3 linked regions of the Mus musculus genome follow. The protein of the gene in region 3 purifies or fractionates together with the protein of the main gene of each other region. This does not show direct contact. Links are inferred from orthologs where the notes say so. Each region holds a gene or a part of one and is shown on either strand. Other genes may lie near its edges. The genes, in order: Birc2, Casp8 and Tradd.

Region 1 (3,645 bases), on a different chromosome or scaffold from region 3:
TGCCAGATAAGCAATTAATACTCATCTTCAGGGAGCTTGGTGAGTTTCAAGAGAACAAAACACATAATGTAAGCTTATAAAGAAAGAATACAATAAGCACCTCTCAAAAGCATAAGAAAGTAAAAAATTTACAGGTGAAGACAAATACATAATCACCTTCAGACTACTGCAGACAATAACAGTCAAACACTGGGCCCAGATTCAGTCTTAGTACTACCCCAGTACAGAGCTGAAAGTAACTGTAGCTGTAACTATAGTTGCAATTGTTCTATAAAGACAGTATGCAGCTATAGTTATCATATGAAAAAGAAACAATGGATGTAACTTTAAAAGATACATTAAAGCCATGAACTGTTGGAAAGGACAGAGACAGAGTTTTTGTATACAAATGAAATTAAGTTACTAGTTTACAAAACAGACTACTTTAAGATCTGATTGAAGCAATTCTTCAACTGAGGTCCCCTCTTCCCAAGTGACCCCCAGTTTGTGTCAAGTTAACAAAAACTAAACCAGCAAAATAATAAAGACATAGTACAGTAAGTCCTGACTACTGTACACTTGCTCCTTCTCCACTCTTCCTTCCCAACAGATTATAATCCTTGGCACCTAAAATATTACTTAGAAGGTACCTAAATATTTGATAAATAAGTGAACTGTATATACTAAAATCTAGTGATCATCTGTTACAGTTTGTCTTTATTGAGATCAAAGATAGTTACAGCTAAAACCTGTTCAGAGCTGCACTGACACAAAACATTGGTTCCCTTAGTTAACTATTTAAAACTGTGAGGAATTTTGTTTTACAAAGTATAACAATTTAAATAAAATTTAAAATGTTTTTTTTTATTTTAGATACAACAGTTAAACTTCAAATTATAACATACAAGGCCAATTAAATGATTTCATCATTTAAAACTGACATTTCAATCCAAACTGTAGACATTAGCAACTGTAAGTTTTCCCCAGGGTACCAATGTCTGAGACATTTTAGTCTGAGAATTCTTGGATGCTACAAGGCAGACTGGAGGCAACATGCTTTCCTATATTGTTGTTTTTTTTCCCAACAATGAAGACTAAATTCATACTAGCACAATATTATGGAGAACATGTTGGTTTGTTTTCCAAACACGTTCTTAAAAACCAAACTCCAAGTGATTCTGAAACGACTTGCCAAATTTGTTGCATTAACAGAAGGCTTAAACTCTATGGGCTTTCAAGATAGCTCAGCATGGTCTCTTGTGAGGCTATGCCAGTGCCTGGCAAATACAGAAGTGGATGCTCACAGTCAGCTATTGGATGGAACACAGGGCACCCAATGGAGGAGCTAGAGAAAAGTACCCAAGGAGCTGAAGGGGTCTGCAACCCTATAGGTGGAACAACAGTATGAACTAACCAGTACCCCCTGGAGCTCGTGTCTCTAGCTGCATATGTAACAGAAGATGGCCTAGTCGGCCATCACTGGGAAGAGAGGCCCCTTGGACTTGCAAACTTTATATGCCCCAGGAAAGGGGAACGCCAGGGCCAAGAAGTGGGGGTGAGTGGGTAGGGGAGCAGGGCAGGGGGAGGGGGGTATAGGGGATTTTCTGGATAGCATTTGAAATGTAAATGAAGAAAATATCTAAAAAAAAAAAAAAAAAAAAAAAAGATAGCTCAGCATGTAAAAGTTCCTGCCACAATCCTAATGACCTGCATTCCATCCCCAAACTCACACAGTGGAAGGAGAGCTGTTCTTTGACCTCCACTACTGATTGGTCTGGGGTTCACAATGAGGCCCAAGCTATCGTTGACCTTGGAACACTCCTGCTTCAGCCTCCAAACTGCTAAAATTAAAGAGTAAACCACCACAACTGGCCAAAATTAACACTTTTAAGTAAATTAAGTACATCAGTTTTCAGGACAAAAACAACAACAAAGTCAAAATTTATCTCTTTGTTTTGTTTTTTTGAGACAGTTCTAAGTAACCCAGGGTAGTTTCAAAGTGGTGTCAGAATCCTGAATGTTAACATTACACTGGACCTAACATACAAATTTGATGATTCTTCATGATAATTGTTTTTGAGACAGGGTCTCACTATGCAATCCTAGATGACCTGAACTTGCTCTGTAGACCAGGCTGGTCTCTGTTCACAAAGAATGCATGCTTCTGCTCCCAGCGGTGAGATTAAAGGCAAACTGACATAGGTGCACTACCTGTCCCATCATATAATTTTAAACTACTTATATTTTAACAATGTAAATAGTTACATCAAAATTCCTGTTCATCATGTACCATACAAAAAATGACTAAAAGTTCCTGTAATTCCCTAAGGAGTCCAATGATTCCTCATTATCACAGAAGGCATGCATATGTCCAAGATCTCTTTACTGTATGATTCCACTTACATGTGTTGTGGCTATGGTAACTAAAGTAGATTCAGATATCGTAGGCAGAAGGGTAGGTGCCAGGGGTGTGCTTACAAGTGTATGGGATACAGTTTCAGTCTGGAGATGACTAAAAAACAGTACACATATACTTTATACTACAGAAGATTAAATTTTAGATGGCTAAATTAGTATATTTTATGTGTATTTTAACACAATAAAAACAACTAACACCGTCCATTCATTTTAGAAATGAATCCAAGTTCACATAGCTGATCAGTTTCAAATACAAAATTTCTAATTGTAATACACTAACAATGTGTTCCTAAATTTATTCTAAACAATAAAAATTAAGAGGTAAGGTATATAGGCAAGAAAACTTGTCAACCAGATATGAGGCCCTGGGTTCAATCCTCCATGCCACAATAAACATTTTTAAGAACCAATTATCAAGGCTGGCAGTGGTGGTACAGACCCTTAATCCTAGCACTCAGGAGGAAGAAGCAGGTAGATCTCTGAGTTCAGACTTGTCTACAGAGTGAGTTCCAGGACAGCCAAGGCTACTCCAAGAAACCCAGACTTGAAAACAAACAAAAGAACCAATTACCTTGGAAACCATTTGGCGTGTTCTATCCAGGGGTCATCTCCAGGTTCCCAACATCTCAAGCCACCATCACAACAAAAGCACTTGACATCATCATTGCGATCCACGTAATAGAATCCAGCACTTGCAAGCTGCTCGGGCTGAACAGGAACACTAGGTGGCCAGTACAGAAATGTCCTCAATCGAGCAGAGTGTGTCTGCATACTTAGATTTGATATACTAAACCTCTGTGTTTCTGAAGTATTTTCCAGAAATGGACAGTGGGGAAAATGTCTGCGGTGCTCTGACATAGCATCATCCTTTGGTTCCCAGTTGCTCAGTTTCCCACCACAGGCAAAACAGGCCACCCTGTCTCCAGGCCCTATGTAATAGAAGCCAGCTCTGGCCAGCTCTGCTGGTGACAGAAAACTTAAAGGCCACATACTGTAAGTAAGAAATCTGGCCTCTTCTGTACTCATGGCATAGCTGCAGGGATCCATCCTTGATGAGAAGTCTTCCACTGCTCTAGAATTAAGAGGGCTAGAGCACAGGTTGGAGTGAATGCCACCTCGTTCCAGAGGTGACGAATGTGCAAATCTACTTTTCACAGGAGACATATTCTTAGATGGAGACTGCAGACTGGCTGAAAGCAGAGTCTGTACAAAGCTGCAGCTGGGATAGAACTGTCTGTGCTTTTCAAC
Region 2 (4,295 bases), on a different chromosome or scaffold from region 3:
GATGGGCCTAGAGTCCTGCCTGGGCTTTGAGGGTTTGCTGACTTCCACAGCTAAGTCTTACTGTTACACAGGGATGTTCTCCTTGCTCCTAGTTCGATAGTTTCTACTTACAGCTAAAACAGAACAAAACAAAACAAAACAAACAAACAAACAAACAAAAAAACAAAAAAAACCAACCAACCAACCAACCAAACAAACAAACAAACAAAAAATAAGCCTAAAGTCAAAATCAGGGCTTTCCTACAGCAAACTCCCCAAAGAGGCAAACCCTGGGTCCTTCATTGTGTGAGCAAACCTGTGTACAAACACATAAGCTCCTTGCTGGGAATTAGTTAAAATATTTTCTGGTGTTAAAGAGAAGAAAAAGAAAAGGACTTTGAAACTGTGTTTTCTGCTACCTAAAATAGAATGTAAACTTTCAGAGTAAAGAGCGCCAACTTCACAGCTGAGGGAACTGAATGAGGCGCCCAAAAGCATATGTCCACCCTCGATGTCTGGGCAAAGGTGACACCATCGTACCAGGACCTTTAGCTGGCATTTGATTCTGCCCAGGAACCTGGGCACCATGGAAGCAGCAAAATCAAATCCTGTCTGTGGCCCAGTCCACTCCAGGAGTTACTATAGTTTTCCCAGCATCCTCTATAACCTCTACCCCAGTTCTGGCTCACTGTTTTCTGAGAATTTCCTGTCAGAGACCACGAACTTCCTGTGAGTGCAGCAACTGAAGCTCTCATGGTAATACTTGAACCACATAACAACAGCCTGAAAATCATCAATGAGAAGATACTGTGTAAAGAGGCAATGAACCTCTGTACAGGGGCAATGGGGGTGTGGTCTTGCTGGAAAAAACACATGGAGCTCCCCTATAGGCACTAAGCCCATGAGAGCATAGGATGACACATCACATGGGTCAGTAAATCCGAGGAATGTCAAATAAAGCAAGAAGATGCCCACTTTCTTATTAGAATTTCTTTTAAGTTGGAAGATTAAAAAAAAAGAAAGAAAGAAAAGAAAAGAAAAAGAAAAAAGAGCAACCTGATAGGGTGAGGTGGTCAGGCTATGCAGGCTGCTGGAGAAATCATATTAGTTCCTGGAGTGAACCTACCCACAAACAGAAATTACTGGGCAAAATCAAATAACAGCTAAATGGCCTGCTATGGGGTCACCTTTCTCCCTCCTGGGAAAGAGACATGGGAGACACACAGCCATGACCAGCAACTCCTCTGTGTCCACATACGAGTTCTTGAGTCTTCTTTAAATAGGTTTGTAAGAAACGGGAGCACTAATCGTCCTCATGCTAATTCAATCAATGCCATATTTATTTAAAAAAAGAAAGATTTGTCGATGAGACAACTCAGGAGTTTAAGAGCACTCAATGCTCTTGCAGACCACCTGGGTTCAGTTTCCAGCACCCATATAATGGCTGAAACTGTCTGTAAATCCAGTTCAAGGAATCTGTGCCGCCACCCCCCCCCCCCCCGCCCAGTACCAGGTGCACATACATACATGCAGGCAAAATACTCATACTCATGAAATTAAAATAGAAATAAATAATTTTTTAAAGAATGAAACTGAGACCTAGCCAAGCAGAAGGCACTTAGAGGACTCCCTTTAAAAAGACAAAAAAGAAAAAGAAAAAAAAGAAAGAAAAAAGAAAAGAAAAGAAAAGAAAAGAAAAGAAAAGAAAGGAAGGAAGGAAGGAAAGAAAGAAAGAGAAAGAAAGAGAGAGAGAGAGAGAGAGAGAGAGAGAGAGAGAAAGAAAGAAAGAAAGAAAGAAAGAAAGAAAGAAAGAAAGAAAGAAAGAAAGAAAGAAAGAAAGAAGAAACAGAAATATGACTGTATGATAATTCCTTACAGGTACTTAACAAGCCAGTCACCCTTACAACTGCTTAGCACGTAGAGGAATTACCGGCCTCAGGTCACCTGTAGCCCCCTCCCTCCCTCCTCTCTCATCCCCTCTCTGTGGGGGTTGGGGTGAGGGGGTGGGGGGTTGGTGTTTTAAGTGCAGAGCTAGTGCCCTACGACCCCCCACCCCCTGTACTGCCAGCACTCAGGAGGTGGAAGCAAGGTCGTAAGTTCAAGAAGCCTGAGCTTCTGCAGGAAATCATGAAACCAAAGAGGGACAGAGGGAGGGAGGGAGAGAGGAAGAGGAGAGGGAGGGAGAGGAGAAGGCAAAGAGAAGAAGAGGGAGAGAAAAAGGGAGGGGAGATGTTGGAGGAGAAGGAGAAAGGAAGAGAGAATTTGGGATTAGAGTTGATGGACGTCTGAGTTGGGAAGAGCACGAAAATCGCCGGAGGAAACGCAGCTCAAGCTAGAGGACTCCCCGGAGGATTAACTCAGCTCCAGGTCCTGAGCCAAACTACAAAGAAAGTAAGCCTAAGAAGTCCAATAAAGTTTTCTGGAGAGGCGGCGACGGCACCCCGATGGCTGCATTTCGGGGAGCGCCACGCGAGATCGACACCCACCGGTGGGATCTCGGCCCGCTGGTGGGAAAGGAACCCGACTGCTCTGCAGCACTCACCTGTGGCCGAGTACCTGCCGCGCCGGTCACAACTCCAGCTCGGGCGAGGCCTCCGCTGGCTTGGGCTTTCCGAGCCTCCAGCCCGGGCCGGCGCTCCCCAGAACTGTACTCACTTCCTGTTCCACGCCGGCTCACAGAGGTTTGCTACCGATTCCGAGAAGCTGGACTTTTAAGCACCGAAGTCAGAATGAAAGACAACTGAGAGAACTAGGGCATAGGGGACAGAAATGCCTCCGAATGTTTAGAGGCGTTTGAGTTAATCATTAGAGGTGGCATCCTGGTGCCAGCCCTAGAGGCCATAGGCTGCTTCGCTTTCTGCCCGCCTTAAGAGCTCCCGCCAGTTCTGGAGGACACTTCCTTATTCCCCCAGTCCAACCACACCTCCTTTCACGCAGAAACCCTCTGCTCTAGAAATGTCAGCACTCTCGGAGGTAGGGACAGGAAGATTAGAACAAGCAAGTTCCAGGCTATCCCAGAGACAGTGGAACCAGAGCTAATGGAATGAACGAACGAACACACACACACACACACACACACACACACACACACACACACACAAAGTTTAAAGGAGCCAACTACAAGAAGAAAGTGATTTCACACTGAACCAAACAACCAGCTATGCTGAGGGCCTAGGTCAGATCCATCAGGATCGCTGATTGTTGGTTCAGTCTCTGTGAGTGCCTATGAGGCCAGGTTAGTTGATTCTGTGAGTTTTCTTGTGGTGCCCTTGAGCTCTGATTCCTACAATCCTTCCTCCCCATATCCTGTAGGATTCCCCAAGCTCTGCCTATTGTGTGGCTGTAGGCCTCTCTGATGGCGACTATGTTAGATTTCTGTCTACAAGTATGGCAGAATATGATTAGAAAACATTTCATGCTTTTTTTTTTTTTTTTTTTTTTTTTTGGTCATGTTCAGTTCTATCTTAGCTGTCTGGGGCATCCAGCCTCTTGTTCCTGACCTCCATGAATTCAGTGTCAGAGGTGGCCTCCCTCTTGTGGCACAAGTCTCAAGAGAGACTAGTAATTGGATGGAGACTCCCACAAGTTCTGTGCCATCTTTTCTCCAGCACATCCTGCAGGCAGGATAAATGGTAGGTCAGAGGTTTGGGGTCTGAGTTGGTGTCCCAGTCTCTCCACTGGAAGGCTTGCCTGGCTACAGCAGACAGCTCCAAACCCCTCATTACTAGGAGTCATAGCAAGGGTCACCCTGATAGGTTTCTAGCCCCCACATTCCAGTCTTCTCTGCCATACTCTCTCCCTCCATCCTCGCCCAACCTGATCCCTCTGCTCCCATCCCCACATGCCCCCAGTTCCAATCCCATGATACCTACTCTATTTCTCCCTCCTAGGGAGATGGCTCCTTGTTACTTAGCCTCTCTGGGTCTGTGGATTGTAGCATGATTATCTTGTAATTTATAGCTAATGTCTGCTTATAAGTGAGTACGTACCATGCTTGTCTTTCTGGGTCTGAGTTACCCCACTCAGGATAGGTTTTTGTTTTTGTTTTTGTTTTCTGGTTCCATCCATTTGCTGGCAAATTTCATGATGTTAGGGGTTGTTTGTTTGGTTGTTTTGTCTTGTTTTTTTAACTCTGAATAATTCTCCATTGTGTAAATATACCACATTTTCTTTATCTCTTCTTTGTTTAGTGTATCTGGTTTTATGTTGAGGTTCTTGATACACTTGGACTAGAGTTTTGTGCAGTCAGGGTGGTAGATATAGATCTATATCCAGTTAGACCAGCACCATTTGTTAAAGATGCTTTCTTTTTTCCA
Region 3 (4,257 bases):
CCTAAAGGCTTAAAGGTATAGTTCCAGTGGTTGTGCCTACACACACACACATACATACACACACGCACACACACACACACACACACTTTCCTATCTACCCTCTCTTTTTTTTCTCTTTTCTCATCTCTGCTGTGTGGCCCTGGCTGGTATTGAACTTGAGAATACTCCTGCCTCAGTGGTTTGGTTTTTCTTTCTTTTTTAAAAAATAGGGTCTCACTGTCTAGCCTTGGCTGGCCTGGAACTCCCTATGTAGACCAGGCTGGCCTTGAACTCACAGAGATCCTCCTGCCTCTGCCTGGGAAAGCTATGACTAAAGGTGTGTGTCACCAAGCCTGGCCCTCACTGGCTCTTCAAACTACTTTCTCGTGTGTTGAACAAATGAGAAATAGGTTTCAAGTTGAGGAATCCTGTCCACTAGAAACTGACTGTTGGGGCTAATCAGGCACCAGTCTTAGAGAATATTTTTTGTTTGTTTCTTTTTGTCTGAAATCACAGGCCAATCAGGAAGTGATGGGCGTCCCAGAAGGGGAGTCACCTTTACACTGCCTCCACCCCCTAGTAACGGACTGACTTCCTGCATGCTTTCTGTGACAGACCTGTGGTAAAAAGCTTGTGGCTCTGTCTGGGGCCGGACCGCTCTGGCACCCTTGAGGAGCTGTTGTTCAAGTTAGGACCCTGACCCTCGCGGAGCCTTGGTTCCTGCTAGCTAATAAAGACTCGGGTGGAACCCTGCAGACACACCCCAGAGCTTGGCTTTTACGAGAGGGGTGGGATCGGAATCTGCGTTTTCTCTGAAGCTGCCAGTTTTGCTTCAAAGTGCTGTAAGGTTTTTGTAAAGGTTCACACTTGCCGTTTCATTTCCCCATGTCTTCCAGGTGTATGGTCTCTCGTGGAATTTACCTCAAGTATACACTAGAGTTCCCGGATACTCCAAGCTAGGCTTGTCCTGGAACCACAGCACCCCATTTTCTGTGTTAAAGACTAGCAGAGATTAGATCATCAAACCAGATTTCCTAGGGGGCGCCAGAAAAAATTCTCATCTCCAGGAGATGCCCTCTGATTGAACCCCAGGAACTAACTTAAATTTGGCGGCTCTCACTCTGAAGCCCTTTCGGCTTCAAAACCCCCAAACTGCTATGTCCAGTGGGCAGTTCGTCCTGCCATCTAAACTTGGGTGTCCGTTATCTTACCTGCTCAGCGGACTAGGTGGGCTTTACCCGGAGACAGGGGACTGGCCACGGAGGACAGCTAGGGCAGGAAGGAGAGGCCCTGGGCGGAGAAGGCGGGACGCGCGGGCGGACCCGGCGACTCTGCTAGGGCACCGCCCCTGCGTCTCCGCGCACACCCGGAAGCCGCGCGCAGCAGAGCCAGGCGAGTGTGCGGCGGCCAGGTTAGTGCGGAGGGTGGGTGGGCTCCCTCGGTGCAGCCCCAGCAAAGCGAGAGATCTGGCTTCCCGAGGGCGAGCACCGCGCGGTGGTGACACGCGATTGCTGGCCAGTTAGTGGCAGCGGCCGGTCGGACTGTTTTGGTGGGAGGTACGAGGGACTTCGGACCTCCACCTTCTCTGGTTTTTTGTCCCAACTAAGGGTTTCTGGTGGGTGTCAGGGCCCTGCGGAGGAGGGGATATGGCTGCAGGGCTGGCCGGGAACGGTTCTGAGAACCCTCTTCCTGTCTGAGCCCAGTCGTGCGCGAACCCCCAGTTTGAAGGTGGGGTAGTGGGCAGACTGGGAACCTTCCTAGGCCAGGTCGCTTACTGCGCACCCGAGCAGGGGGCGTGTTCTGATGGTCTGGGAATCTCAAACTTTCTTTGAGTTGGGAGCCAAGCCCTTCCACCTAGCCAGAAGTGGGGCTACCTGGGGACTGTTATTTGTTAATGAGACCGGACATCTGGGTAGAGTCATTTGTTCTGGAACCCAGCGTAGAAGCCTCCTGGTGGAAGGAGGCCTGAGAAGGATTCTTTTTTCATTTTGGTTTTCCGAGACGGGGTTTCTCTGTGTACCCCTGGCTGTCCTGGAACGCACTCTGTAGTGCCAGGCTGGCCTCGAACTCACAGAGATCTGCCTGTCTCTGCTTCCTGAGTGCTGGGATTAAAGGGGTGCACCACCACCACTCGGTTTGGAAACGAATTTTTTTTTTTAAAAGACACACACACACACACACACACACACACACACACACACACACACACACACACGAGATTCAGATGCACCAGAAGAGGGCATCGGTTCCCATTACAAATGGTCGTGAGCCATCATGTGGATGCTGAGAATTCAGGACCTCTGAAGAGCAGTCAGTGCTCTTATCTGCTGAGGGAAGGATTCCTAAGGGGACAGTGAGAAACCAGTTCCCTCCATCTTGTCTGTTCTATTAACCTCACTTCTCCAACTCCGCGAACTCCAAGGCGGCTATTTCCCCTATTTGCCCAGTACTAGTGAATTTACATATCGATTACTCTGCCATCTCCAGCTCTACCGCACTTGTGCTGACAGGCCTGGTGGATAGTACCCCGACACACACCAGTACAGTTCCAAATCTTCTCCTACCCCTTGGGATGGGATCACATCCATGGGATAGAAGGGTAGGAAAGTGAACTAGATGTTTCATGAATCACGAGCTACTTCTTAGACGTCCTTGCTTGTTTTATACCTCGGTAGCTGAAGAGTTACATCGTGATGTTTTTGCCTTACTTTTTACTAAAGACATTTATGGGCTGGGGTGGGGCTCAGTGGCTGAGAACTACCGTACACCTGGCTCAGGGTTCAATCCCAAGTACGGAAGTCACTGGAGCCCTGCCCTGTAGAACTTCCTGGTGTTCTTGCTCTTGGTTCCTGAGGGCTGAGGTTACAGATAGGATGCCATCACCTCAAGTTCTCTCCTTTTCTTTTTTGGCTTTTTGAGCCAGGATCTTACTCTGTAGACCAGGCTGCCCCCTCAAACTCAGAGATTTGACTGCCTCTGCCTCCCGAATACTGGGATTAAAGGAATATTTCATTTACAATCCACCTCCTCTGCTTTTTTTTTTTTTCCTTTTTGAGACAGGGTTTGTCTGTGTAGCCCTGGCTGTCCTGGAACTCACTCTGTAGACCAGGCTAGCCTCAAACTCAGAAACCCACCTTCCTCTGCCTCCCAAGTGCTGGGATTAAAGAAGGTGTGTGCCACCACCGCCCAGCGACTCTTTCTTTCTTTCTTTCTTTCTTTCTTTCTTTCTTTCTTTCTTTCTTTCCTTCCTTCCTTCCTTCCTTCCTTCCTTCCTTTCTCTCTCTCTCTCTCTCTCTCTCTCTCTCTCTCTCTCTCTCTCTCTCTTTCTTTCTTTCATTCTTGTTATTTGAGACAGGGTTTCTCTGTGTAGCTTTGGCTGTCCTGGAACTCACTCTGTAGACCAGGCTGGCCTCGAACTTAGAAATCCACCTGCCTCTGCCTCCCGAATAAGAAACATGTCTCTTATATATAAAGTAGGAGATATTGCTTAATACAAAGAAAATTAAAACCATCCCAACCTGCCCAGAGATAGACAATAATTTTCAGACTGTTTTAGTAAATATATGTATATTAGTATTAAATTTTCTGATGGAAGAGGAGTTTCAAAAATCTATGTTCCTTAGCTGGGCAGTGTTGATGCACGCCTTTAATCCCAGCACTTGGGAGAAAGAGGCAGTGGATCTCTTGAGTCTGAGGATAGCCTGGTCTACAGAATGAGATCCAGGGCAGCCAGGGGTACCTTGTCTCAGAAAACAAACACCCCAACAAACCAACCAACCAAAAACATACAAAAACCCCGTGTCCCCATGCTTAGACCTAGATAGGGCCATGGACAGTTCATCATTTCCCTCCACCAGGTCTATGCTATGCCCTGCCCAGGTGCTTTCTTCTTAACCTTGACTCTCTATTAGAGGTTTGGAAGCAAGATTTTAACAGGAGATGGATGGAAGTGATCCTGGCGTTGAGGGGCCCTCATGTCTCATGTGGAAAGTTAGGGAATTTGTTTAGGAATAGCCAAAGAGAACACGGGCCCAATCACAAAGCAGGATGACTTAGCGCGCATAACTGAGCAGTCAAGGATGGTCCGAGATAGCTGGATCCGTGAGTGCATGTCCTGTCCTCAGGCGGGCGTGGCAGCACTTGCAGATAGACCGCTGTGAGTCAGAGGCCAGCTTCCTGTAAAGGGAATCCAGACCAGTCAGGGCCTAGTACACAGAGAAACCCTGTCTTGACACCCCCTCCCCCACAAAAACCCAACAGTGTGTGTGTCCTGAGATG

The links.
Region 1: the proteins of Tradd (region 3) and Birc2 purify together in Homo sapiens (affinity purification with western blotting; 3 studies listed by BioGRID and IntAct, with this or other methods). This does not show direct contact. The link is inferred for Mus musculus from reciprocal best matches to the Homo sapiens genes TRADD and BIRC2.
Region 2: the proteins of Tradd (region 3) and Casp8 purify together in Homo sapiens (affinity purification with western blotting; 6 studies listed by BioGRID and IntAct, with this or other methods). This does not show direct contact. The link is inferred for Mus musculus from reciprocal best matches to the Homo sapiens genes TRADD and CASP8.

What each region holds. Positions count from the first base shown.
Region 1 is NC_000075.6:7,830,537-7,834,181, forward strand, and holds part of Birc2 (baculoviral IAP repeat-containing protein 2), read right to left. Parts: coding exon 2,969-3,645; intron 1-2,968. UniProt on the Homo sapiens protein: Multi-functional protein which regulates not only caspases and apoptosis, but also modulates inflammatory signaling and immunity, mitogenic kinase signaling, and cell proliferation, as well as cell invasion and metastasis.
Region 2 is NC_000067.6:58,793,965-58,798,259, reverse strand, and holds the start of Casp8 (caspase-8), read right to left. Parts: upstream 2,887-4,295; 5' UTR 2,522-2,886; intron 1-2,521. UniProt on the Homo sapiens protein: Thiol protease that plays a key role in programmed cell death by acting as a molecular switch for apoptosis, necroptosis and pyroptosis, and is required to prevent tissue damage during embryonic development and adulthood.
Region 3 is NC_000074.6:105,261,694-105,265,950, reverse strand, and holds the start of Tradd (tumor necrosis factor receptor type 1-associated DEATH domain protein), read left to right. Parts: upstream 1-1,356; 5' UTR 1,357-1,390; intron 1,391-4,257. UniProt on the Homo sapiens protein: Adapter molecule for TNFRSF1A/TNFR1 that specifically associates with the cytoplasmic domain of activated TNFRSF1A/TNFR1 mediating its interaction with FADD.